3 linked regions of the Lepisosteus oculatus genome follow. The protein of the gene in region 2 interacts with the protein of the main gene of each other region in a biochemical or structural test. Links are inferred from orthologs where the notes say so. Each region holds a gene or a part of one and is shown on either strand. Other genes may lie near its edges. The genes, in order: arf6a, rab11fip3 and ADP-ribosylation factor 4-like.

Evidence for each region.
Region 1: the proteins of rab11fip3 (region 2) and arf6a form a complex in vitro, tested with the Homo sapiens proteins (2 studies listed by BioGRID). The link is inferred for Lepisosteus oculatus from reciprocal best matches to the Homo sapiens genes RAB11FIP3 and ARF6.
Region 3: the proteins of rab11fip3 (region 2) and ADP-ribosylation factor 4-like form a complex in vitro, tested with the Homo sapiens proteins (2 studies listed by BioGRID). The link is inferred for Lepisosteus oculatus from reciprocal best matches to the Homo sapiens genes RAB11FIP3 and ARF5.

What each region holds. Positions count from the first base shown.
Region 1 is NC_090703.1:10,289,744-10,297,762, forward strand, and holds the start of arf6a (ADP-ribosylation factor 6a), read right to left. Parts: upstream 3,006-8,019; 5' UTR 2,560-3,005; intron 2,373-2,559; 5' UTR 1,318-2,372; coding exon 790-1,317; 3' UTR 1-789. UniProt on the Homo sapiens protein: GTP-binding protein involved in protein trafficking that regulates endocytic recycling and cytoskeleton remodeling. GTP-bound form plays an important role in the transport of multiple palmitoylated proteins form the Golgi to the plasma membrane.
Region 2 is NC_090714.1:6,565,593-6,573,153, reverse strand, and holds the start of rab11fip3 (rab11 family-interacting protein 3), read left to right. Parts: upstream 1-4,551; coding exon 4,552-6,078; intron 6,079-7,561. UniProt on the Homo sapiens protein: Downstream effector molecule for Rab11 GTPase which is involved in endocytic trafficking, cytokinesis and intracellular ciliogenesis by participating in membrane delivery. Recruited by Rab11 to endosomes where it links Rab11 to dynein motor complex.
Region 3 is NC_090702.1:13,128,470-13,135,425, reverse strand, and holds the start of ADP-ribosylation factor 4-like, read right to left. Parts: upstream 3,060-6,956; 5' UTR 2,919-3,059; coding exon 2,852-2,918; intron 1-2,851. Other genes in the region: gcc1 (GRIP and coiled-coil domain-containing protein 1), read left to right, coding at 4,671-5,732.

The sequences.
Region 1 (8,019 bases), on a different chromosome or scaffold from region 2:
GGGGGGTCCTTCAAAACAGCATTGCAGGTCACCAATGCTTGGGACGCTCATTTACAAAGGAATACATATATATAGAAGTGTTTTGAGCACTTTGCTGTAGTATACTTGTACCTCGTTCAGCATCTATACCTACAGTAATACTTCACATAGTTGTAACAGAACGGTGCTGCTAAACACCTGGTGGCTCTCTCGGCAATCTTAAATCTGTAAGCTCTGGGCTTAATTCCTTCTCAAAGAAACAGTATAAAATTTAGAGACACGCCGTATTGTTTTTTTTTTCAAACAATTTTTATATATATTTACTATTAGAAACTTCAGGCCTGAACATCGCACACATGTTCGGTATGAATGTAAAAGAAGCAAAGTCTACATCAAGCAGGTTCAGAGAGGCAAAAATGAGAAGTAAAACAGAAAAAAAAAATCCCCGCCCCGCCAAAGGAAATAATACAATAAAACTAAGAAAATTCAAGAGCTTGAGGCAATTCATGTAGTCTGCTTTTTCTTTTAAAAAGTCTCTCACGGGAGTATTTCTTGAGTCACGGTAATCAATAAAGAACGTGATCCAAGGACAGCGCAAAAGCAAAATTAAAGCCAGCCAAATAATTACTTTAAGAAAAAAAATGATTAGTTATACGGGGGTCATATAATAATCAAAAGAAAATGAATTATAATCAAACTTTTTTATTATATTCTTCCGAGAAGCCATGTTATTTGTTAATTGCTTCTTCTCGTGTAAATTTTGTATTATTTTATTTTTTTTGCTTGTTCTAACCAGTCATCATTCGACCATTAAGATTTGTAATTAGAAGTTAGCCAAGTCAGCCCCTCGTACAGTCCGTCACCTGTAGTCGCGCAGGACGGCTGCACATACCAATTCCTATCTCGGATGCGGGTTAAGCCCAGTTTCTCCTGGATCTCATGCGGCTTCATGGCATCAGGCAGGTCTTGCTTATTGGCAAAAATCAAGATAATGGCGTCCCTCATCTCCCGGTCATTAATGATGCGGTGGAGCTCTTGCCTGGCCTCGTCTATGCGGTCTCTGTCCGCACAGTCCACCACGAAGATTAACCCCTGCGTGCCCGTGTAGTAGTGCCTCCACAGGGGGCGAATCTTGTCCTGTCCCCCGACGTCCCACACGTTGAATTTCACGTTCTTGTAGGTCACGGTTTCCACGTTAAAGCCTACGGTGGGGATGGTGGTGACGGACTGCCCCAGTTTCAGTTTGTAAAGTATGGTGGTCTTCCCCGCGGCGTCAAGTCCAAGCATCAATATTCTCATCTCCTTGTTGCCAAATATCTTGGATAGCATCTTCCCCATCGTGTAAACAGCGCATAAATATCCAGTTCCTCTGAGAAATTCAATAAGTCACCTGGACCCCCGTTGTGCACTTGAGACCTAATAAATAAGATGTTCTGATTTTGTATTTCTTTTTACCGAACAGTTCCCGACTTTCAGCCCAAGCAGCCAACTGGTCACGCACTGGTCAATATCCGGTGGGGAGCAAAGGACAGTACATCAGGACAGGCTGAAGTTAGAAACCATTCAATCGCTGGGCTGTAGACGCAGACGGTGTCTCTGCAAAGCGGCAATCCGTCCGTGCGAGATTACTGCTCCCCCAACACTAAAAGCCGGCTGTGCAACTTCTAGACAACATCCGAAAAGAATCCATAACAACAAAGCTGTCCCGTCGGTCGGTCCGTCCCCCCTCCTCCCGGGCTGTCAGATATCCCTTTCAGTCAGTAAAAGGTTTTGCCTTGAACCGAGCCGGGACGCCAAAAGGGAGGCCGAGGTCACAGTTAAAAGACACCGGGAGTGGCGAGGAATCCAGGTGCCGGAAAGAGGTTGACAAAGAGGGTGTGGGGAGGCCGGTTATTTCAAGTCCACATCAAGAGCACACCGGGATCCACTTACGGGTCCGTGTAATGCGGTTCTCCAGTCCCTCGGCTTGCCTTCTTCCTCTCTAAGGCGAGGGCCTACAACACAGACGGGTCCGGCTGGGGGGGGTGGGTGTTGCTCTCCCGGCCCCTCTCTCAACTTCCAGAAGTGAGCTGGCTGAGGATCGGCGCGGCTGCCCGAGCAGGCCTTCGCAGAAGCCTGCGGGAGCTAGTTCACAGACTTCCTCCTGGCGTGCCCGTGTCGAGGTCTCCGCTCGCCCGTTTCTCTCTCTCTCCCCTCCTCCTCCTCCTCCTTCTCCTCCGCCGCCGCCGCCTCCCCTCCTTTCTGAACCGGGTGGGCAGCTCGCAATTTCACCGGCTCCGCGCTTCAGCCTGGTCCGCCCGGGTCCGCCACACTTCTGTCGGAGACGGAAGAGCCTGAGCCGAGGCGACTCCAAAGGTCATTGATTCATTCGAGAGCTTCCTCTTCTCTTCTCCCTGTAACACAAGAGCGGTTGAGAAAAGGGAGGGGTGTCAGGGGAGGGGAAAAAAAACACAACTTTAAGCGCAGCCGCCGCTAGCGTGGTTACGTTTTCCGCTCAATGCTGAACAAAAGCGGCGCCGGCATTTCTGAGACGCGGTTCTCTCAGCCGGTCCCGCCGGTGTCTGGCGTCTTTTTTGTTACCTGCTCTGCGGCCCCCCGATCCCCGGATTGATCCACCCCGCTCTCGCCTCTCTCTCTCTCAGCTCCGAGCGGCTCTCGGCTACCGGAAAAGGTGCGGACCCGATCACCCGCCACTTCCTCTCGCTCGCTTACTTTCAGGCACTTTTTTTTCCCCATTTCCGCCCATTGGCATGCGCAGAGTAGTTACCACGCACCGCCTTTGACGGGGCTCAGAGGCTCAGGAAACTGACGCCATTGGGGCTCCAAACGCGTGCTCGGCGTCCCTCATTGCGGCGCACGGCAGCGGGAGCCAAGATGGCGGCCGCCCGCCAGCGCAGTTTCGGGATGTGTCACCCCCCAACCGGATCTTTCATGTGCAACGATTCTCTTGAATGAAAAAACGCAACGAAGGGGGTTATTGCCTTTGGCGGCAGTAAAGGAGAGGCGCTCGGTGGACGAGGGTGTGAGTCGACAGCCAGCGCTCAAATGTGAAAAAAGAAAGAGGTGGTGCGTTATGACGTAGGCGTCACTCAGTGGGTACTGTGAGGGATTTCAAATAATGCCGCAGACAGGCCACGAGCTGCACGCTTAACTGACAGGGGGCTCGGCTACTCTCGAGGGAGGGCGCTGCCCGTGCGTGCTGACAGGGACACCGCCCCCTCGCTATATTATCACCCCCCGTGTAAAAATAGTTCGTGCGAGAGCGTGGAAGGGAGGTGAAGTCTCTTCCGCCCGGTGTTTGAATCGCGCTTCGGAGGGGGGGTTTGTATGTTATTTTAACTTGGCTCTGGAAACACTTTTAGCTACCGAAAGGGGGGCTTGTCTAAAATAACCCCTTCCTGTCTTCATCCTGATAAAAGTGAGAGCTATTAATTACACGTATGCCTGTGTCGCAATACTGCACCGCTAAAGCTATAATCCTTACCTTGATTATTTTAGGGCCAACTCCACCTAAGCAGCCTTTTTAAGAAAGCCCCAGCTCTGTTCTGTTACCAGCCCATTTTCCGCGCACTCGTTGCAATAGTAGTTTCTAAGACCTGCATTTACAAATGTCTACATTCACGACTTCGCTTTATTTTGCTTGGGTGGTGGGTGAATTAAAACTGCGGATAGATCTACCGAATTGAACGTATACCATGACACACAACTACAGAGTGTAGGGGGGAAAAATACTTCACCGTGTTTCAAGCGTCCTTTTCAAAATGTAATGTTTTCATGTTTGAGTCTACAAACGCCAAACCCCGGAACAACTGTGCTCAGCAATAAATGGTTCTTAAAGTTTCCATAAAAAGGAGTGAAGACAAGCAGTATTACGTTTTAGAATAACGTAATACAGTGTATATACAGTATGTATAACTTAACAGGAAGTCTGAAATGGCCCTAAGGTAATAGTAATATTTAGCGAATTAAGGGCTTCTATACGTTCCATAGTTTCTTGAACATATAAATATAAAGCACCAACTGTTTACGTTTCATAAAAAAACAAGCGTTTCAAATGTGTCTTAAGTTTATGTAGAGGACAGACACCGGCTACGTTTTTTATTAAAAAATGGCTTTAATTTATGAGGAAATGAGGAGACCGAAGAGCTTCGCAGTACTGAGGCGTTTCCACAGACCATCAATGAGTTGAAACGCCTTTACCACACAGCGCTTATTTCCTATTAACCGGCCGCCACACCCTCGTCTTCACATTCAGACACCTTTTGTTTCGCTGGGCGCAATCTGAACCTCTTCCGTTTCACGCTAAACGACAGCACTCGTGTAAAATATCGCGACATAACATAAACGATTGTGGAGATCAATGCAAGCAGTGCTGGGTATGACGAGGGCGAGTCTTTACAGCTTTCCAGCGTTAGACAGTGAAAATGTGGCTGACGTGCGCTATTGTGCGCTTCAGGTCTTTCATGAGCTGCGGAGGCTCGTCCCTGTGCGCGGTCATTCTTTTACGCGTGTGCGATGTTGCAGGAAACCTGTCACATCCTGACACGGATGTCTAGGTGCGAAATAAGCTGCTGACTCCAAACACAAAGCAGGAATGGGACAGAAATGTCATCAGAGCACAATACCACGCAAAGGCAAGTTTCTAACTGCAGAATCATGGATCTGATGGACTGAATTATGGTTTGAGCTTGAGAATGGATTGCAAACCACAATCGGTCCATTTTGCTCATTTGGTAGTTGATCGTTAATTGATCCCAGGATCTCGTCCAGCTGTTTTCGTGAAAGGAGTCAAGGTATTGGCTTCACCAGTGTGGCTTGGTAAAGAAACACCTCCTGTTTTGGGGTTTTAAAGACACTGTTACCTAGTTTCCACCTGCGTCCTCTGGCTGGTATTTCTGTTTACTCCAGGCGGTGAATAAAATAAAGGGCTGTGATGATACCCCACGAACCGCTGATTTTGGTTATCTGAAGGAGTGTCAGGTATTAAATTGCACCGTTTTCTGCTCATACACTTATTTTCGTGTTATCTTCTCTATTCACACCATTCTCCACCCCTCTCCACTTTGCACCTCCTGAGTGGCCTCTCTGCCTCTCCCCTCTCCCTCCTCCTCCACTTTTCCAGCCTGTGTTCTCCTGTGCTTTTTAATCTTTGCCGTCTACCCTGTCTTTCTCACACCCGAAGAAGGCTCCACAGCCGAAACGTTGTGTTTTTCTTCTCTTTCCAGCAGGGAATAAACCCGTTACCTGTTCCTTTGCAGCCTACGCATGCTGACACAGCCCCCTACTCGAACTACTTCAATGTACAGAATATCCAGAACATTTCTCACCAGGCTCTTCTCTCTTGTTTTGTGTTTCCATTGGTCTTCAGCAGTGGATTGTCCCTTGAACGTACCAAAGGTGGACAGAGCGCTGTTTGCCAGGAAGTGCCCCGTCCTCTGTTCCTGAGGAACATTGGCGCTAGCTGTCAATCCTGATGCCTTTCCAGCTTGCTGCTTAATTTCCAGAATCCAATCACTTCCACTCACAGTTTCCAATCCGTGCTGCAGGCCAGCATGACTCAGGCAGTCACTCTGACGTTTAGCTAGACTAGTCTTTCTTTCCACTTTCTTAGACTTTCTTTCCACTGAGATAATTATTTTTAAAAACAAACACAAGGCCTGCCATGCATCTCACACTCGGGCAACAGAAAACACTGAAAGTAAAGGAGAATTGAAACATATTTCTGTTTAATGTCACCAAATTTGAAAGACAAATACAGTGCCATGGAAATTTCTTATTTAGGCCACAGGTGTTTTTGTGTTTTCGATGGACTTCATTATATTGTATTCGGTCTCTGTGTGTGCACGTGCTTTTCCAGGACCAGTTCAGGGAGCAGAATAGAGAAGCACCCGAGCCAGAACATAAGGATCGAGCCCTGGACCCCTGCAGTAGTCAAACCACTGGGGTCACGCGGCTCTCCTCAATCTGTTTGCAGCCTGGTTTCGTTTTTTTTCTCAAACTGCCCACAGAAGGCCTTTGTTTCCCTCACACAAGACAATCAATCGTTTTGCCTCTTGCAAAGACTGCACAGTTGTCCACCACTTTTAAATCTGATATGGCATTAAGTACGTTGAAACAATGTCGTCTAAAGAAGTGGTTCTTTATTCTCAAAATCATTCAATGAAGCTTTCCAGACCTGACATAAATGTGCCATTTTTGCCAAGTGACGTGTGTAACTTCTCTGGGCAATTGGACTGTGATGCGTCTGGCATACATTTCGGAGATATAGCGCCCCCTTGTGGAGTAAAGTGGACATCGCAAGGAATTGTTCATTTCACAAGATAAGAGACCTTGGAAAATCCGAAAGACCCATCAACCTACCTAGTTTCGGACGCTCTGTCTGTGCAGTAGTGAAATACTGTGAATACTAAATAAAGGATTTTTTTACTAAGAATGAATAATCACACAAAAACAAAACGTAGTTTTCCTAAACTGCCATTTATTGCTTAAATATCTGAGCAAATATCTGTAATCAGGCTAAGCACATCAATTACAGTTTCTATATATCGGAACCATTCTGTAAGAGGTAAGCCCCCTTGTGTTTGGGATTACTGCCATCACCTTTCAAGAATTAGATTTAAACCACACATCAATTAACAATATAAGATAATGACTGTCAATGATATGCCAGCAGCCATATCACCCTGCAACTCACAACTGGCAACCCACTGAACCTAAGCAGGTGTGAGCCTGGTCAGTACCTGGAGGGGAGACCTCCTGGGAAAAACTAAGGTTGCTGCTGGAAGAGGTGTTAGTGGGGCCAGCAGGGGGCACTCACCCTGTGGTCCATGTGGGTCCTAATGCCCCAGTATAGTGACGGGGACACTATACTGTAAAACAGGTGCCGTCCTTCAGATGAGACGTAAAACCGAGGTCCTGACTCTCTGTGGTCATTAAAAATCCCAGGGCGTTTCTCGAAAAAAGTAGGGGTGTAACCCCAGCGTCCTGGCCAAATTTCCCATTGGCCCTTACCAATCATGGCTTCCTCATAATCCCCCTCTATGAACTGGCTACATTACTCTGCTCTCCTCCCCACTGATAGCTGATGTGTGGTGAGTGTTCTGGCGCACTATGGCATCCAGGTGGGGCTGCACATTGGTGGTGGTGGAGGGGAGTCCCCATTACCTGTAAAGCGCTTTGAGTGGAGTGTCCAGAAAAGCGCTATATAAGTGTAAGCAATTATTATTATTATAATGAAAGCCAGATAATAAAATGGGGTGAACACACACAGAAATAAGTGTTAGCGGACAGCTTTTGACTTGGAACTAATTACCGGGCTTGAATCTTCCAAGAGATCACACCCATGAGAAGCTGATGTCCCCTGACCAAGCGGTTTTCTGCTCATAGGTCTGACCCAGAGATCCCAGCCTGCAATGCTCCGTGTGCTGTGGAGTGTTTCCAGGGATATCTGAGGTTCCCAGCATGCTCTGGTCTGGGCCCAGGTGCAGCCCTGGGCAGAGTTCCCATGAGGCTCTGGCACGGCGCACATGGCAGGTGTCCATGGGCTTGGGACCCGGCTGCTGACAGCAGGAAATGCCTCCACTTCCGGAAAGGATCCTGTGTCTGGATCATCACCCTGTGCCTTCGTCTGATGTCCTCGAAGGAGAGGGTGGCCCACCCAGGCTGGCTGAGGCCGCGTGATCTTAAAGTCTTCCCCCAGGCCACCTCCATTTTATCTGTCTGCTCCTCTTGGCTCGCCTGCCCCTGGTGCATCCTTTGCCTGTCTCCTGCCAACCTGGAGCCCTGCTGCACTGGCTCAGCTACAGCCTTGGCCCTCTCTGTCTGCGTTTCCTTTCTCCCGGCTCTCTCACAAGCCGTTGGAGCTGCCTCGAGGGCTGGGAGGATGGGACGGGGCCTCTTGTCTGGGCGAACTGCAGGGTTCCTCACAGAGCCAGAGGTGCAGGCTGCATTCAGTCTGCCCAGCGCCCTGCGATACTGTGTCCGCTGTTGCTCAATGTTTCGCAGGGTGTGCTGGTACTCCAGCTCCAGGCTGCAGAGCAG
Region 2 (7,561 bases):
CTACAGTCCATAAATGCCAGAGGTTCATTGGAAAAATTGGACCTGCCGGTGTCTGTGTGCCGTGCTGTGGCCTGGTGTCCTGTCCGGGGTGTATCCTGGACCTGGTTCTTGCTGGGATAGAATCCAGTGTCCACCTGTGACCCTGTCCTGGATAGAACTGTTTAAAAATGGATGGGCAGTACTTGTGCTGTTAGTAATGAAACCAGGTCTTTGTCCTTTTTTTTCAGAAGTCCTGAACACTGGGTAGGCAAATTCAAATCAATAAATTATGTTCTAAGCATAATGATTAAAAACTGATTAGAGAAAGAAAGCGTAACTTGGGAATTTATCATTTTACATGAAGTAACCAACATTTCCCTTCGATGCGTGAAGAAGTAATTCTCGTTGGACTACATTGAACGGGTTTCGGTAAACCGATGCTTCCTGGAGCTTTTTGGAGTTTCTTTGTCCTGTTTTGAATGAAATACCAATAATCCCGTTTTCTCAAAGTGACGTCAGTGTTTTGCATATTCAAACACTGAAGCAGAGGCTGGTTGAAGACAGGAATTCATATTTATACGGCGTCATACTGCTTTTATATTGCGTTCGTGAAACGTCTCAGCAAACGTTTTTACAACAGAAATGTATCTTTCCGTTTTTTTCCGTGGTAGGGTCAAGATTATCTCTAGTAAGGTTTAGAGCTTTCACTGCGTCTATAAACGTATAATATAATACATCATATAATCACTAAGAGCTGCTTTTGGGAAGAGTACGTAAATTTAGTTCAATAAATAACTAAAAAATGCGATCATCTTTGTTCGTCTGAATCTCGTTGAATCTGTGGACCCAGTACCGCTGCCTGTGGAGAATCTCATTAGTACAGGGGAAAGGCTAACGGAAGTTTGCTCAGACCCCCGACCTGTGATCTCACAGGTTGCCGATATCAAAGATTTAGCTAGCAGATAAAGAGTTGTAGATACTTCTAGTTAAACCTTCTGGGAGTGTTAGCGACTCTTTGTCTGTACAGAATGGAAATGTTTCAGGTAAAGCAGACGCAGGTAAGGGCTACTTTTTAAACACTCATTTAAGTTGAAATAGAATTGCACAAAAACGTCCATGTGAGTGACTCGAATTCTTAATATTTGTTTTGGGACTTTTCCCTAGTTTTGTTGGGGGGTCAATATACTTGTAGTTTGCACCACGGAAATTAGCTTCCCCGTTTGTAGGCCGTATATATTTGCCACGATGTTTTAAAATAAAAAGAAGTCATTGCTGTAAAAGTACACAAGAGGTGCTTTTAAACGTGAGCGATGAAAATCTGAATGGGATGCTGTCTCCGGGGCAGGAGGGTCATGTTGAACTCTTTTTATAATGTTAATTTTTTGTTCTTGTCTTAAACTGGGTTTAGGGATTGCTTTTTACCTGAGCTAAGAAGTGATAAAGATGTCCCTAAAATATTCCTTTAATTTCGACGAGAAAAAAAAACTAGCTTTTGATGCTATTAATCCGTATGCGGACCCTGCTGTGTTAGGAATCTTGGGACCTGTGACTCTTGCGGTCATTCCTCCTCTATATATTGTAATTTAAGAGCCTTTACTGAACTGGTTCCATTCTTTACCCCTCTTCTCCTACTTTACTTAGTACCACCATCCACAGTCTCCTCTGTGTATTTATCTTGTGTATTCGTCTTATTTATTGTTGTTGTCATCCTGTAAAGCGCTTTGAGAAGCCACCTTTAAAGGCGCTATATAAAATAAAGTTTATTATTATTATTCATCGAAGTCAGGATTCACAAGAGTTCGTCCATATGGCTTTCGTGGTTGTCCTGTACTACCAACAAAAAAAAACCCGGAAGTATTTTCACAACCACAAGAGGGAGAAAGAGCAGGGAAACTCGGCGTTTGCACAGTGTGGGTTAGCTGGCCATAGTGCGTGCGAAACAGTAGATGTTAATTAAAACGCTCTTTCAGCTCACTGAAGCAATAGTGCGGTGTTGTAATTCCTATTGATCGATTGTATTTGATTATTTTTAAGTGGTGTAGCCAACATATTGCTTGAGCTTCGCCAGATTTGAAGGTGATTGTTTTATTCAGACGCAGGACCTGAAGAAATCAGCTGTCCGTGGACGTTATTTTTGTACATTTTAGTATGGTATGCTAAGAAACGTCCCTTTCGTAAGACCCCATGCCAGGAACCCCGAAAAAGCCATGGGAAATACATGACTCTGAAGGGCCAGTGAAGTCATCGTTTCGCCCAGAGGTACAACTGGACTTGCGAACACTCCCCGAGGCGACAGGAGATCTGATCCTTGCCGGGGCTGTGAAATCTCAACCCACTGTCCTGCATCCACGCACACTCGCGAACAAGGGTCGTTCGAAACTACTGTATGATGCATTTACACTGTTACCTGATATAAGTACTGTGCTAAAAAGTGTCGGATTTCTCTACCTGTGGTCTGGCAAGGGGATTTCAGAATGAAGGAAATATGTTTTTTTTTCCTTTTTTTTGTTTTAGTAGAAGCCGTGTGAGCGATAACCTGGAACCTGTACTACCACATAGGTCAGTGACGTCCCACTGGCTGACAGCGTAACACTTCTTTTCTGGTTTCTTTGAAACCTCAGCCTTAATGAGCTTGAAAACAAGGCGACAAACGCAATGCGAGGAGCTGCCAATCACTGATCGATCGGCGTGGACAATAACGTGAGTGATTACTGCCTCGCAGTGCGTGCTCAGTTTCGTACCCACGGTGGTTGCGGTTTTGTCAAACCTTTTAAGTAAGTTAAAGACAACTACCTAATCTGCCCAGCTTTGGGTATATCCTGGGCTGCGCTGCCCCATGCTTGCCACTGTGTCTATACCTCACTAGACACACATCCACGCACACCTTTCCTTTAAGAGATGGACTGTAGGGGCCGGGGCGCTTTTGAGTCGACAGACTGCGGCGTGCTCGCTGCGCCTGCGCGCTGTGGGGGCGGTGACGTCAGTGCTGTATGCGGCTGGCGATGGCGGAGCAGTTGCTGATGCGAGAGAGAGAGAGACGGACGGCAGTCCACGGAGCCATCAGTCACCGGCGGTACCTAATGGAAACACCTGCGTATCTGAACTGAGGAGCGCTTCGATGGCCTTGAAAGCGGGTCATTTTCAGGGGTGACCGAAGGACGGAGGTGAGGGCAGAAAAAGGGGGCTCCGCCAGCCCACGCAGGTGGATGAGCCTTGAGAAACGAGCCTGAGTGGAGAGGGGTGGGGGGGGGTTCACGCATTTCTTTTTCCCCCCCGCACGGAGAGGGGGATCCGGGGCTGGAAAACCTGGATCAGGCTGAAGGACGTGTACCAGCTCTCGCAGGAAACCAGCCGAGCTCGGTGGGGGGGGGGTGGGACGCGAGAAGGAGCCGGCTTTCCGTGAGAGTCGTCGCCGAGACGGGCGAGTGAGGGATGCTCTTTCACCGGGGAGACGCTAACGGAAAATCTTGTTTCACAGCCCCCCTACCGGCAGGCGCCTTCGGGGGAGGACAGACGCGGCGCGGCGCTGCGCTGCCCCGGCGGTCGCGTTTCGGGGAGCCGCTGAGGATCTGGTTGTGAAAGCCGAATGAAACGACGAGGCGAATCAGTTCAAAACGCGAGAAATAACTTGGGCTAACGCGAAGCGCCGAGCTCCGCTGGAGGGGAGGGGAGATTCGCCGTCCCGTCGGGTTACAGCGGTGCCTAGCAACTGCGAGGAACAGTTTTACAACATCCATCAAATATTTATACCCAACCCGACAGACACACACACACCGGCGGTGTTTCACGCTCTCTGTTCACCCCTATTTTTTTTCCTCTTGTTTTTTTTTTCCCCTGCTGCAGTTGTGAAGGTTTGGCCGAGTGAAAACGCCGAGGGGAAACGAGGGCCCGAGGAGGAGTATGAAACGAGCCGGGGGAAGAAAAGAGCCTTTTTTTGGGAAGGAGGCGAACGCGGGGCCTGGACGGAATTAACTTCACCTCGTCGGAAAACGCTTCTTCTTTTTTTTTTTCTTTCTCCCCCAAGAGCGGCCCGCAGACCATTTCAAAACGGAGATACAACCGACATTTTTCCAGCCCGGAATTTTTTTGGGGAGCAGGCAGAAACCTAACAGGTCCTACCGAGGAAAGACCCACAGCGCTTCGTGCTGGGGGGAAAAAATGAGTTGTTTCAGAGGAAAGTGGGTGAATGAAACCTAGCAATAAATATCCCCCGTCTGCCAAGAATGGCCGTGCTTGTGAAGGTTGCAGTTCAGGCAGCGGAGTGGACATAGGGACAGTGGCTGCAAGAGCTCAGCCCTGCAGGTGTTGGTGTTGGTACTAATGCCTTACTAACACGCCGGTCCGTGGATTTAAAAGTGTTTACTTACTGTATCTCTGAGATGCCTTTGGATCTGCTGAAGGGTGTGCTTGTGTTGAACAATAAGCCGCTGGCTTGCTTTTGGTCGTCCGCAAGGGAAACCTTTGCGAATTCTTTCCGGATTCTTGTTTTTGTTTTTTTCTGCCTTTGTTTCAGTTCTTAGGGCTGCTTGTCTTGCCTTTAGGATTTTCAGGTAGTGTTTAAAAAGCGCTTCAATGGAGCAAGTGCTGCTGTCTAGCCCGGCTGGGCGTTCCGACTGGGAGCTGGAGCAGAAACAGTCGCTGGGATTTCTCTTACTGGAGCCGGACAAGGGAGTTAGTTTGTCCAAGGGGAGCAAAGAGAGTCCGGAGCCGGGGTTGGATTACAGAGCAGGGGAGGAGAAACTGGTGTCCCTGAATCTGGATGAGATCCTTCAGGAGAATGCCTTAAATCTAGATGACCTTCTTAGGAGCTCAGGGTATCCTAGTGTGGACCAGATCTTGTCCTGGGAGAAAGGCCGTGACTGCACTGTACTGCAGTGGGAAAAAAATCCCAGGCAGGGCACGGATTTTAACCACAACCGGGCAGTGGAGCTGGTCAGCTTCCAGGGCAGCCCCGCCACGGATCACACTGGTTTCAGTGGCAGTCCTGCTTTAGCGGTGAGGGGAATCGGCGCTTTGAACTCCGAGCCGGATTTCTCTCCAGAGTCCAGCCCCTTTCAGCCCCGCCGGCTAGATCTGGTGGATGGCGGCAGGGAGCCGCCTCCGCTGTCGCAAGACGACGACGGCTCTGAGTCCTCGTCACCGGAGGACGCGCTGTTACCTGAAACCGAGGGCAGAAGTTCCTTCCAAGAGCCGGAGATGGATCTGCCCGCATTGAGTCACGAGCTGCCGGAGGGCTTACCTGAGGGCTGCGAGAGCCCCCCCTCGCAGTCAGGGTGCAGTGGATCACAGGGAAGTGCAGGCCTTTCAGGCCCTGATCACGAGAGCTGCCCCAGCCCTGTGGATCATGTTCTGCGGAGCGAAACTGTGAGCCCGAGTCTGCCTGCTGGGACCCCAGAGCAGGATGCCTCAGCGGAGACTTTAACTGCCTCTTCCTCCCGGGAAGACCCGGGGAACTGGGTGTTTCCACAGCCTGCACTACCCTCTCAGTCTTCAGAACCAGCTGGTCGCCCACCGTCGCCTGTATCTGGAGCTGTGTCGGACTCCGACGGCCCGGATAATGACCCGGCCTCGGATTGGAAGTCATCAAGGGATTTAGTGCCCGGCCAGCTGGGCTCGGGTCAGGGTTCAGGATCTTGTGGTCAAGAGCACAAAGATGTGGTTTCGGACCCATGTTTACCTGCCGTTGCAATGCAGGAGAAAGACATTTTGGAACCACAGCTCACCGAGGGAGTATTGTGCGGATCTCCAGTTTTGGCTCAGGGTGGGAAGAGTACAGAGTCGGAGGCGGACCTGGGTGCTCCCAAGGATATAATTGACCTCGAACAGAACGGTCTTCACGATCCCGCCGAGGAATCCCTTGTGTCCGGCCCCCTCTTGTTGCGGACTAGCAGTCAGCCCGCGGAAGAGTTTTCGGTATTGGACGTGGAGCTCTCTCCCTCCCTGCCTGCAGGGGGCAGCGTTTCTTACCGGGAGGACAGCCCGCGGGCGGAGGACGTGTCCCCTCTGAGAGCGGTGTTTGACGCTCTGGACCAGGATCGGGATGGCTTTGTGCGGATGGAGGAGTTTGTGCAGTTCGCCACAGTCTATGGTGCTGAGCAGGTAAGACGGTCTTTATTGATGCAGTTGTCCTGTGCTCCGACAACTTTCTCTCGCTCCGGGAATGAATCGTTGAGCTCTCAATATTGGCATTTCTCGGAGGTTGTTTTCCCGACCTAGTTTGGAAACTAGGCTTTGTAAGCCAAAAAAGAAACATTCAACAAAAAGGGAATCTGTGTTTCTCAGCATGCAATTGTATGCAGAGTCTCGGGGCAGGGTGTTTAATGGTGGAAGCAGCATGTCTGAAACCCCTTGAACTACAGGGAGGGGATTTATTGCTCTACTTCTAGTAATAAACCTTAGAAATGGCTTTTTGTGAAAGCAAGTTCAAAAGCTCAAGAGCTGTTTAAATGCACAGAGCCTGCCGAGGGTGATCAGAAGTTTGAAACAGTGGCTCGTGGTGGGGTATCTTAAGATGAGCCCCATGTGCAGGACAGCAGGAGCTCAGACTGTGAGATTGCTAAGGGCTGCTCTCTCCCTGTTTCCACGGGGCTGCTCCCCTGTACCCCCCAGTAAAATGACCCCGCGGTGCTGCGCAGACTAGGGGGGCCGGATGCCCTGATCTTGTTTGTCATCTTTCTTACGACACTGACAGGTTGCCCAGTCGGAGCTGACTGGACAGGTCTGTGTCAATGTGGCTCAGGCCTCACAGTGGGCTACTGGGCTACACACTAAAACTAATCACATGTGGTGTCCCAGGACAAACCAGATAATGTTTTGAAGTTGTATCTGCTTGGGTTTGCAATGAGTCATCATGCTCAATCAGTTCTACCAGTCCAATTGTACTGCCTTCAGTGCAGTCTGCTGAGGTCTTAACAGTACAAAGCCATATGTGCTATTGTCAAGCGCTTTGGTGCTTGCAAGCTCAGCTTAAAGGTTTTTAACTGTACAGTTTCCTTTCTGGAGCTGGGTTTTCTACATCCAGTAAACTGGAGACTGGGGTTCCCTGCCTACAGGTTTCGGCTTGGGCCATGTGCATCCTGCACTGGAATGACCGAGATCGTGCTATCAGATTTTTTTTTTTTAATGGGAGATGAGTTGTTCAAGTGGGGGTAGAGATGGATCTCTCTTGGTGCTCCTGCACAGTGGAACCATTTAAGACACTGGAGTGCAGGGAATCCTGTGTATGGTTTCAGATAAACTCCCTTTGTTCTGAAACAAGATTACGGTGTTCCGTAACAGGGTTGTCAAAGAGAAGTGAGGTAGCAAACGTCATTGACTTTACGTTTACCATACTTAAACCAATAAAGTCAGTTTGACTGCTGGGATGCTGTAGTGCAGTACTGTATGTCTGAGTTTCGAAGAGTCAGTTGTATTGAAGATACAAAGGCTGAATTTGTGGGGTATTAAACCCTTTCACACAAATCAATTTTCCTTTTTCACCTGGAACCTACACCTTTTTCTCCAAGAGGATCAAAAAAAGTAACGACCTCCCTTAATCTCGAAGCCTTGAGTTTCGTGCAGTTTGAGACATCCCACTATTTCT
Region 3 (6,956 bases), on a different chromosome or scaffold from region 2:
AAATGTGATCCTTTTTTTATTGTGAACAGATGAACACCAAAATTTTAAGTACATCTTGGCCAGCGTCACAAAACACACAAAATGTTGGGAGATGAACCCTTCAGCAGAAACGACTGGATCCCGCCTTGATTTGAGAATGATTTTTTTCCACAATTTTCATCTGGCTCATTTTCTCACACATCCGTTAACCTTCCAGCGTGTCTTTGAACTGTGGGAGGAAACTGGAGTACCCAGCAAAAACCTACGTGAATATGGGGAGAACATACAAACTCCACACAGATAGCAACCCAGGTCTTGAACTGAGCCCAGGACCCCAGTCCTGCGAGGCAGTAATGCTGAACACTGTCACCCATCTATGGAGCAATTAGCTACAAACTACAAACGTCGTTAGATGGGTCAAATGGCCTCCTTTCATTGGTAACATTTCTTAAATTCTTACCATACTGAGATTATTGCATTAAAAAAGGGAGATGAGTTGAAGTTGAGTATTGCTGCAGCAGGTGGACATCAGGCCATGAGTGTCAACACTACGTATTTGCACACTGGCAAATAAACACAATAGGGAATCTTCAGAATCTGATGCAACGTGTTTTGGAGTCAGAAATACAGTATTATCCTTGCCATGAAGTTGCAGACGGAACCAGTTAATTTCCATACCGCTTCAAGGTGAAAAACTCTTACTTAACTTCATTTCTACACCATTATAGGAAGATAATCAAAAGCTGCCATCACGGCCCCCCTCACCAACTCTTGGTGTACTTTATCTTAAGCTACTGAATAGCACCTCAAGAGAAAAGCAACCCCAAAAACAGAAATCTATTTTACAAACTGGTCAAACAAAAAGCATTAGATTGAACTATGAACTCAAATGATTTTTGACTGGACACTTAAATCCCACGTATTTCCATTTTCTTCATTTTTTTTAGCTCATGTTGCTTAATTCCCATATTGGTGGATGGACATGCTCTATCCTGCTGAAGTTCTTTCTAAGGAAGCCTTTTATTCTGTTGTACAGTTCTACAGATCATTAGTGAAGTATTTCTGACTGTCTAGGCATAACCACTTAAAGGAACCTGAAAGATCCAACAAAAGGCACCAAAACTTTGATATAAAAAATGCAAAGTAGGGGTTAAACTACAATACATTTAACACGACACATTCTGACATTTATTTTTTAACTTTTAACTTTTTCATTAGCATTTACAGTACTTGTTGAGGTTTGCAACAGTTTAAAATGTCTGATGCTGTGCATTCTTAAAGCAGAGAAAAACATTCAGAAGAGACATTGTTTCATCTAGTTTGGTATTGGTAAGAAAGACATGAAGTAAACACAGGTGAAATGGAAGAGCCGTGAAAAGTAGTGCACGTTTTTGCACAAAAATGAAAACATTCAATTTAAACTTTGAAGTAGGAGTGACAGTTGAGGTTCCAGTTGTTTGTTCTTGTTTGACTGGAGCCTCAGTGATCAAGACAGCCCATCCTGCTGAGATTTCACGAGCAACAGCATCAGTGTGCAATGACAGCAAGATGTCATCACCAATGGTGAACAGTGGACACAAGTGCACACGCCAGGGTCATGACAGCCGTGCATTAATTCGAAGAGCAGGGCAAGACAAGCGAGCAACTGCATATTTCAGCCTGCGGCACAAGCTGCCAGTTTGATCCGAAACAATCCGCAGAGAACTCCGCAGAGTGGGATACCACTGTTGGTCTGAAGTGCACAAAGCACTCATCACATTGGGCAGTACATGTTTTAGAGCCCAGTGGTGCAAAGTGCACAAGCAATGGAATACTGAGCAGTAGAGAAATGTGATTCAGTCAGATTAAACATCTTTCACCATGTTCCTGACAAATGCTTGAGTGCACCTAAAGCCCAAAAGACTTAGTTTCAACGATGAAGGGTGCTGGGGGTTCCGTAATATGTAGGGAACATTTTCCTAGCGTGGTTTGGGTACACTTATTTACTTAAAAGGCAAATCCATGCTTATGGCTATTGTTCTGAATTGTTCTGAATTGTGTACCACTCCTCCATATTTGGAGCACTAGCTTTTCCTCAAGGTGAGTTTGTACTACAGTGCGATGACACTCAACACTTTTACCTACAAAAGAAAAAAAATGTTCTGCCTACTTATATGATGTTTTAATCACACAGCAACATACAATATTACATATAATGAAAATTCTAAATACTAAATAATTCTAAATAATAATCTCAGATTTATAACTGGCGACGGTATGACAAGACCATGGATAGCTCACTTTGGTGCTATACAGTATCTTTGCCAATGTTGCATCACTAAGTGTTCCTTTTACATCCTAAAAAAAGACGGACACAACACTGAAGGCCTAAATAGAGGACTCATATTCAGAATAAACAAGAAATGGAAGAAAATAATGTTTATGTTTTCGCCTTCGAGTTATAATTCCTAACAGTCCATAACCAGTTCCAGTATAGGTAACTTCCTAAAAACAAAACGTTACCATTTTCTAAAACGTGCAGTAACTACATTTAAAACGCACGGACACCGGATTTCTTGCATAATGCAGGAAAGGCATTTCCTAACTGCATTATTTCACAAAAAACCTTGCTAAACGAAATGGAGAAAAGGAATAGGCATTTCGATATCCATCACTATTGTTATCTCCACTCTTTCAACCTCAATGAGCAGCAATAGAATTAAATACCTCTCGTAGTGTTATCGTGACTTATTCGGTACTGTTATTAACAAATCGTGCCGTCCCCTTTGTCGCTCTGTACAGAATGTAACCACAGAGGCCCCATCTTTTCCTCCTCGTCTCTGGGGCAGCTCTAACAATACCCTCCCTCTGCCTCCGTATTGTCAATGCTTACCCATAAGTATCCTCATTTGTTTCTTGCCAAAAAGCTTGGAGAAAAGCGACGAGATAGTGAGGCCCATGTTGTGCGAGAGTACCCCCCCTTTAACACTTCGAGTGATGTCTACAGTTAGAAACAGAAATCGTTTAAACAGCCCCTATAGAAAATGGGAGTCTCTCTACTGCCTCCTCCTCTGATGCAGGTGCCACGTCCAGGCCAACGCGGAAGAAATTACGTCACCGCTTTCATGAAACTTTATTAGCAATCATAGGGTGTCTCATTTCCAAAACTGCTGTAATAAACCCAATCTGCCCCCAAACGATTCTGTGAGCAACGCTCAGAAAAATGTATGCTTTATTTTGGAATGTTTGGTAGATGTATGCAGCATAACACACATGCATTACCTTTGCAAGTACAGACGTAATCTGCTAAAATGGAAATGACATGTCACATTTTATCCGTCCATGAACACAAAGCCGCTTATTCCTGGCAATGGCCAGAATAACCCGGTGTCCTGTCCGAGAAGCATAAGGCACATACAGGAGCATGCCCCGGGCAGGACACTATATTTTAATATTTTCGTTAATATTGTACCTCGAACAACCTGCAGGGTCCGCCGTATGCGTTACAATATCAACACCCTGTAAAAGGTATTTACAACTAATGATCGCTGCATTATAATAAGATCTTTAAAATAAGACCCCGCGTTTTTCGTTTGTTCTGCTAATTCAATTTGAACATACATTTATCTCGTCTATTGTCTAGATATCTCAGGTTGTTAGTTAAAAAAAAACAGCCAGGAGATCAACCCGGTGGGGAGCAACAATTATTTTACGATACGTCGTAATTTTGTTTGTTTATTCTGAAACAAATATAAAGTAAAGAGACAAGCATACAAAATAATAAAACTCTTCTCTGAATGCTTCAATTTTTCACAGACTAATTATTTCCGACCTTACTAAGATGGCCCCCATAAATTTGTTGTAAAAACTTTATTGCTTAACAAATCCAATATACATGAAAACTCAGCCGTTACTAAAAGGACCCTTTCCAGGAAGTACGAGTTACGGACACGTAAGCTGTGTACAAGATAGCAAGCTTAAACGACTAATCGAGGACAGAGAGAAAAAAACAAGTACGTTTGCAGCTTTTTCATTAGTTCAAAATACGAAATGTAGAGTTAGTAGATGTTCTGTATTCGAGACATTTCTCCATGTGACTGTCAGCTTTGTTAGGCCTCCAGGAAAATTCCAGATATCACAACATTGCACTTTGTTTTTATTTTTTATTATTTATTCATAATGGAATTATTAACTTTATGGCAGCCGTTGCTGAAAGATGGAAACTAAAGCTGAGAATTACATCTTAAATTAGATATTCTTGAGTAGAGGTTTGCTTGCATAATTTTATTAACTCTTATTTTGAGTAGAACTGGTCTTTTTAGCCACTCAGAATGCTTTTTCCTTCAGTTTTTTTTCAGTGCACTGCTTTTTCCTTCAGTTTTTAAATCGGAGATTCTCTTGGTTAGCACATTACAGTTTGAAGTGAAAGAACGACATCTGAACTCGTTTCTATGCATATCTAGTTCTCCTTTGTTGCGAGAATTGAATGACAAATGCTCGGTTTTATACGGTGGTTTGCTGTGTTTTATTGCATATGCGAAATGATCATCCCCACCGTCTTTGTGCGTGTATTTGTTTCACGTTTATTTTTTTACTTAATTGTTACGGGGATTTCAAATTTCATGTTAAGTTTTTGTCTGATTCATTTTTCTTTTTATTTCATAGTGCCTCGGGACATGACGTGTATGATTGTTTAGCTGAAACCAGCAAACATGGAGAAGTTTGGAATGAATTTTGGGGGTGGCCCCAGTAAGAAGGAGCTGCTGGAAACTATAGAAAGTCTGAAAAAACAGCTGGTTCAGTACCAGACCCGTTTTAAAGACGTTGTCAGGGCTTACAAAAGCCTTCTGAAGGAAAAGGAAGCTTTGGAGGCAAGCTTGAAAGTTCTGACTGTATCCCAGGAAGCTGACTTGAGCTATTCGAATGCAACGCCTTCTGGGGCCTCTGGCCTGGAGCGGCGTTCTTCGGACCTTGGAGACGACAAGTGTTCGTTGCACAGCGAAGACAGCGCGGACACAGCGGCCAGTGTGGACACCGCTAACAGCGTGGCCAGCAGCAGCACCAAGGGAGAGGCGACCGAAGAAGAAAAGAGCCTTGGTGAGCACGGGCCGGCTGTGTCCGCTTTGCAAAGGGCTGAAGACAATAATGGCTCGGAGAGTGGCGTCAGCTCCAGCAGTGGGGAGCAGCAGGTGGCTGGGGAGGCTGACAGGAGAGTCCTGCAGCTGAAAGCCCAGCTGTCCACCCTGACCAGCTCCTTGGCCACTGTGACGCAGGAGAAGTCAAGGATGGAGGCCTCCTTCCAGGCGGACAAGAAGAAGGTGAAGCAGGACCTTGAGGATCTGTGCAAAAGCCTGGAGGAGGAGAGGAGTCATCATGAAGCGGAAGTGAGAAGCCTGCAGGAGCAGCTCGCGGAGGCCAAAGCCCGGGTCATCACCCAGCAACACGAGCGGGCACAGGAGCAAGGAGACCACGCGCTGATGCTCCGTGAGCTCCAGAAGCTGCTGCAGGAGGAGCGGGCCGCCAGGCAAGATGTAGAGCTTAAGCTGGAGGAGACCAGAGAAGCTCTGGTAGAGAAAATGACAACCGCCGACCGTGTGGGAGACTATGAAGCCCAGGTTAGGGTGCTTTCCACGGAGCTGGAGGAAATGAGGAAAACTCTCGAGGAGGCCGAGAGAGAGAAGTGCAAAGCCGACCCCCGCGTGGGAGAACTACAGCAGGAGATTGAAGATCTCAAAGCGCACTTCCAGCTACAAATCCAACAGGAGATGAGAAAGGTAATTTTGGTTCTCTTTCATACGGTATGTTCTTTAGCTCTTGTGAGTAGTTCATTCAGCAAAGAAGCTTGAAGAGAGTGGAGGCTGAGTATTGCAATCCAGGAGTCACAAGTTCGAACGTAGATGAGATTTCATAGGTTCCCCAAAAGGCAGCACAAAATCAGCTGAGCACTGCTGAAATTGATTTCCCCTGCCTGCTGCACAACAGCAAGCCTTAGAATCGACCAGGTGCTCGCGAGCCTGCGGTGGTTTCTGTGAGAGACGCACCATTGCTCCTGACACTGCTATCTCTCCTGTGAGGCACAGTGGAGCTCGCTGAGTGTTAAATGATTGACAGTGTGGCAGGTGTGCACGCGCATACAGTGCAGCCTGTAAGTATTTGGACAGTGTATTTGTTTTGGCTCTGTATTCTAGCACATTGGATTTGAAATAAAACAATATCCATGAGGTTAAAGTGCAGAATGTCAAGGTTAATTCGAGGGTATTTATGTCTATATTGGGTGAACGATATACACAGCCCTTTTTACACATAGTCCCCCCATTTCAGGGGACCAATAGTAATTGGACACATTAACATAATCTTAAATAAAATAGTCATGTTTAGTACTTGGTAGCAAATCCTTTGCAGTTGATGACTGCCTGAAGTCTGCGACCCATAGACATCACCAGACGCTGGGTATCTTCCCTGGTGATGCTCTGCCAGGCCTGTAATGCAGCCATTTTCAGGTCCTGCTTATTTCGGCGGCTTTTTAGCTTCAGTCTTGTCTTCAGTAAGTGAAGTGCATGCTCAGTGGGATTCAAGTCGGGTGATTGACCTGGCCAAGAAAGTTCCACTTTTTGGCCCTGAAAAACTCCACAGTTGCTTTAGCAGTATGTTTGGGGTTAAGGCTCTGCATGGCTTGGCACCTCAGTACCTGTCTGAACTATTATCGCCCTACTCTCCACCTCGCAACCTTCGCTCTTCTAATTCTGCTCTCCTTACTGTCCCCCAAGCCTGTCTACATTGTATGGGTGACAGGGCCTTCTCCTGGTATGCCCCCAAGCTCTGGAACTCTCTCCCCAAGGATATCAGAGAGTCACCTTCTCTAAACTCCTTCAAATCCAGACTCAAAACCCTCTGCTTCAGAAAAGCCTTTTCTTAACTGGTTCCATTCTTCACCCCTCTGCTCTTCTTAGTCCCACCATCCACGGTCTCCTCTATATTTTGTAATTGTGTTTTATCTT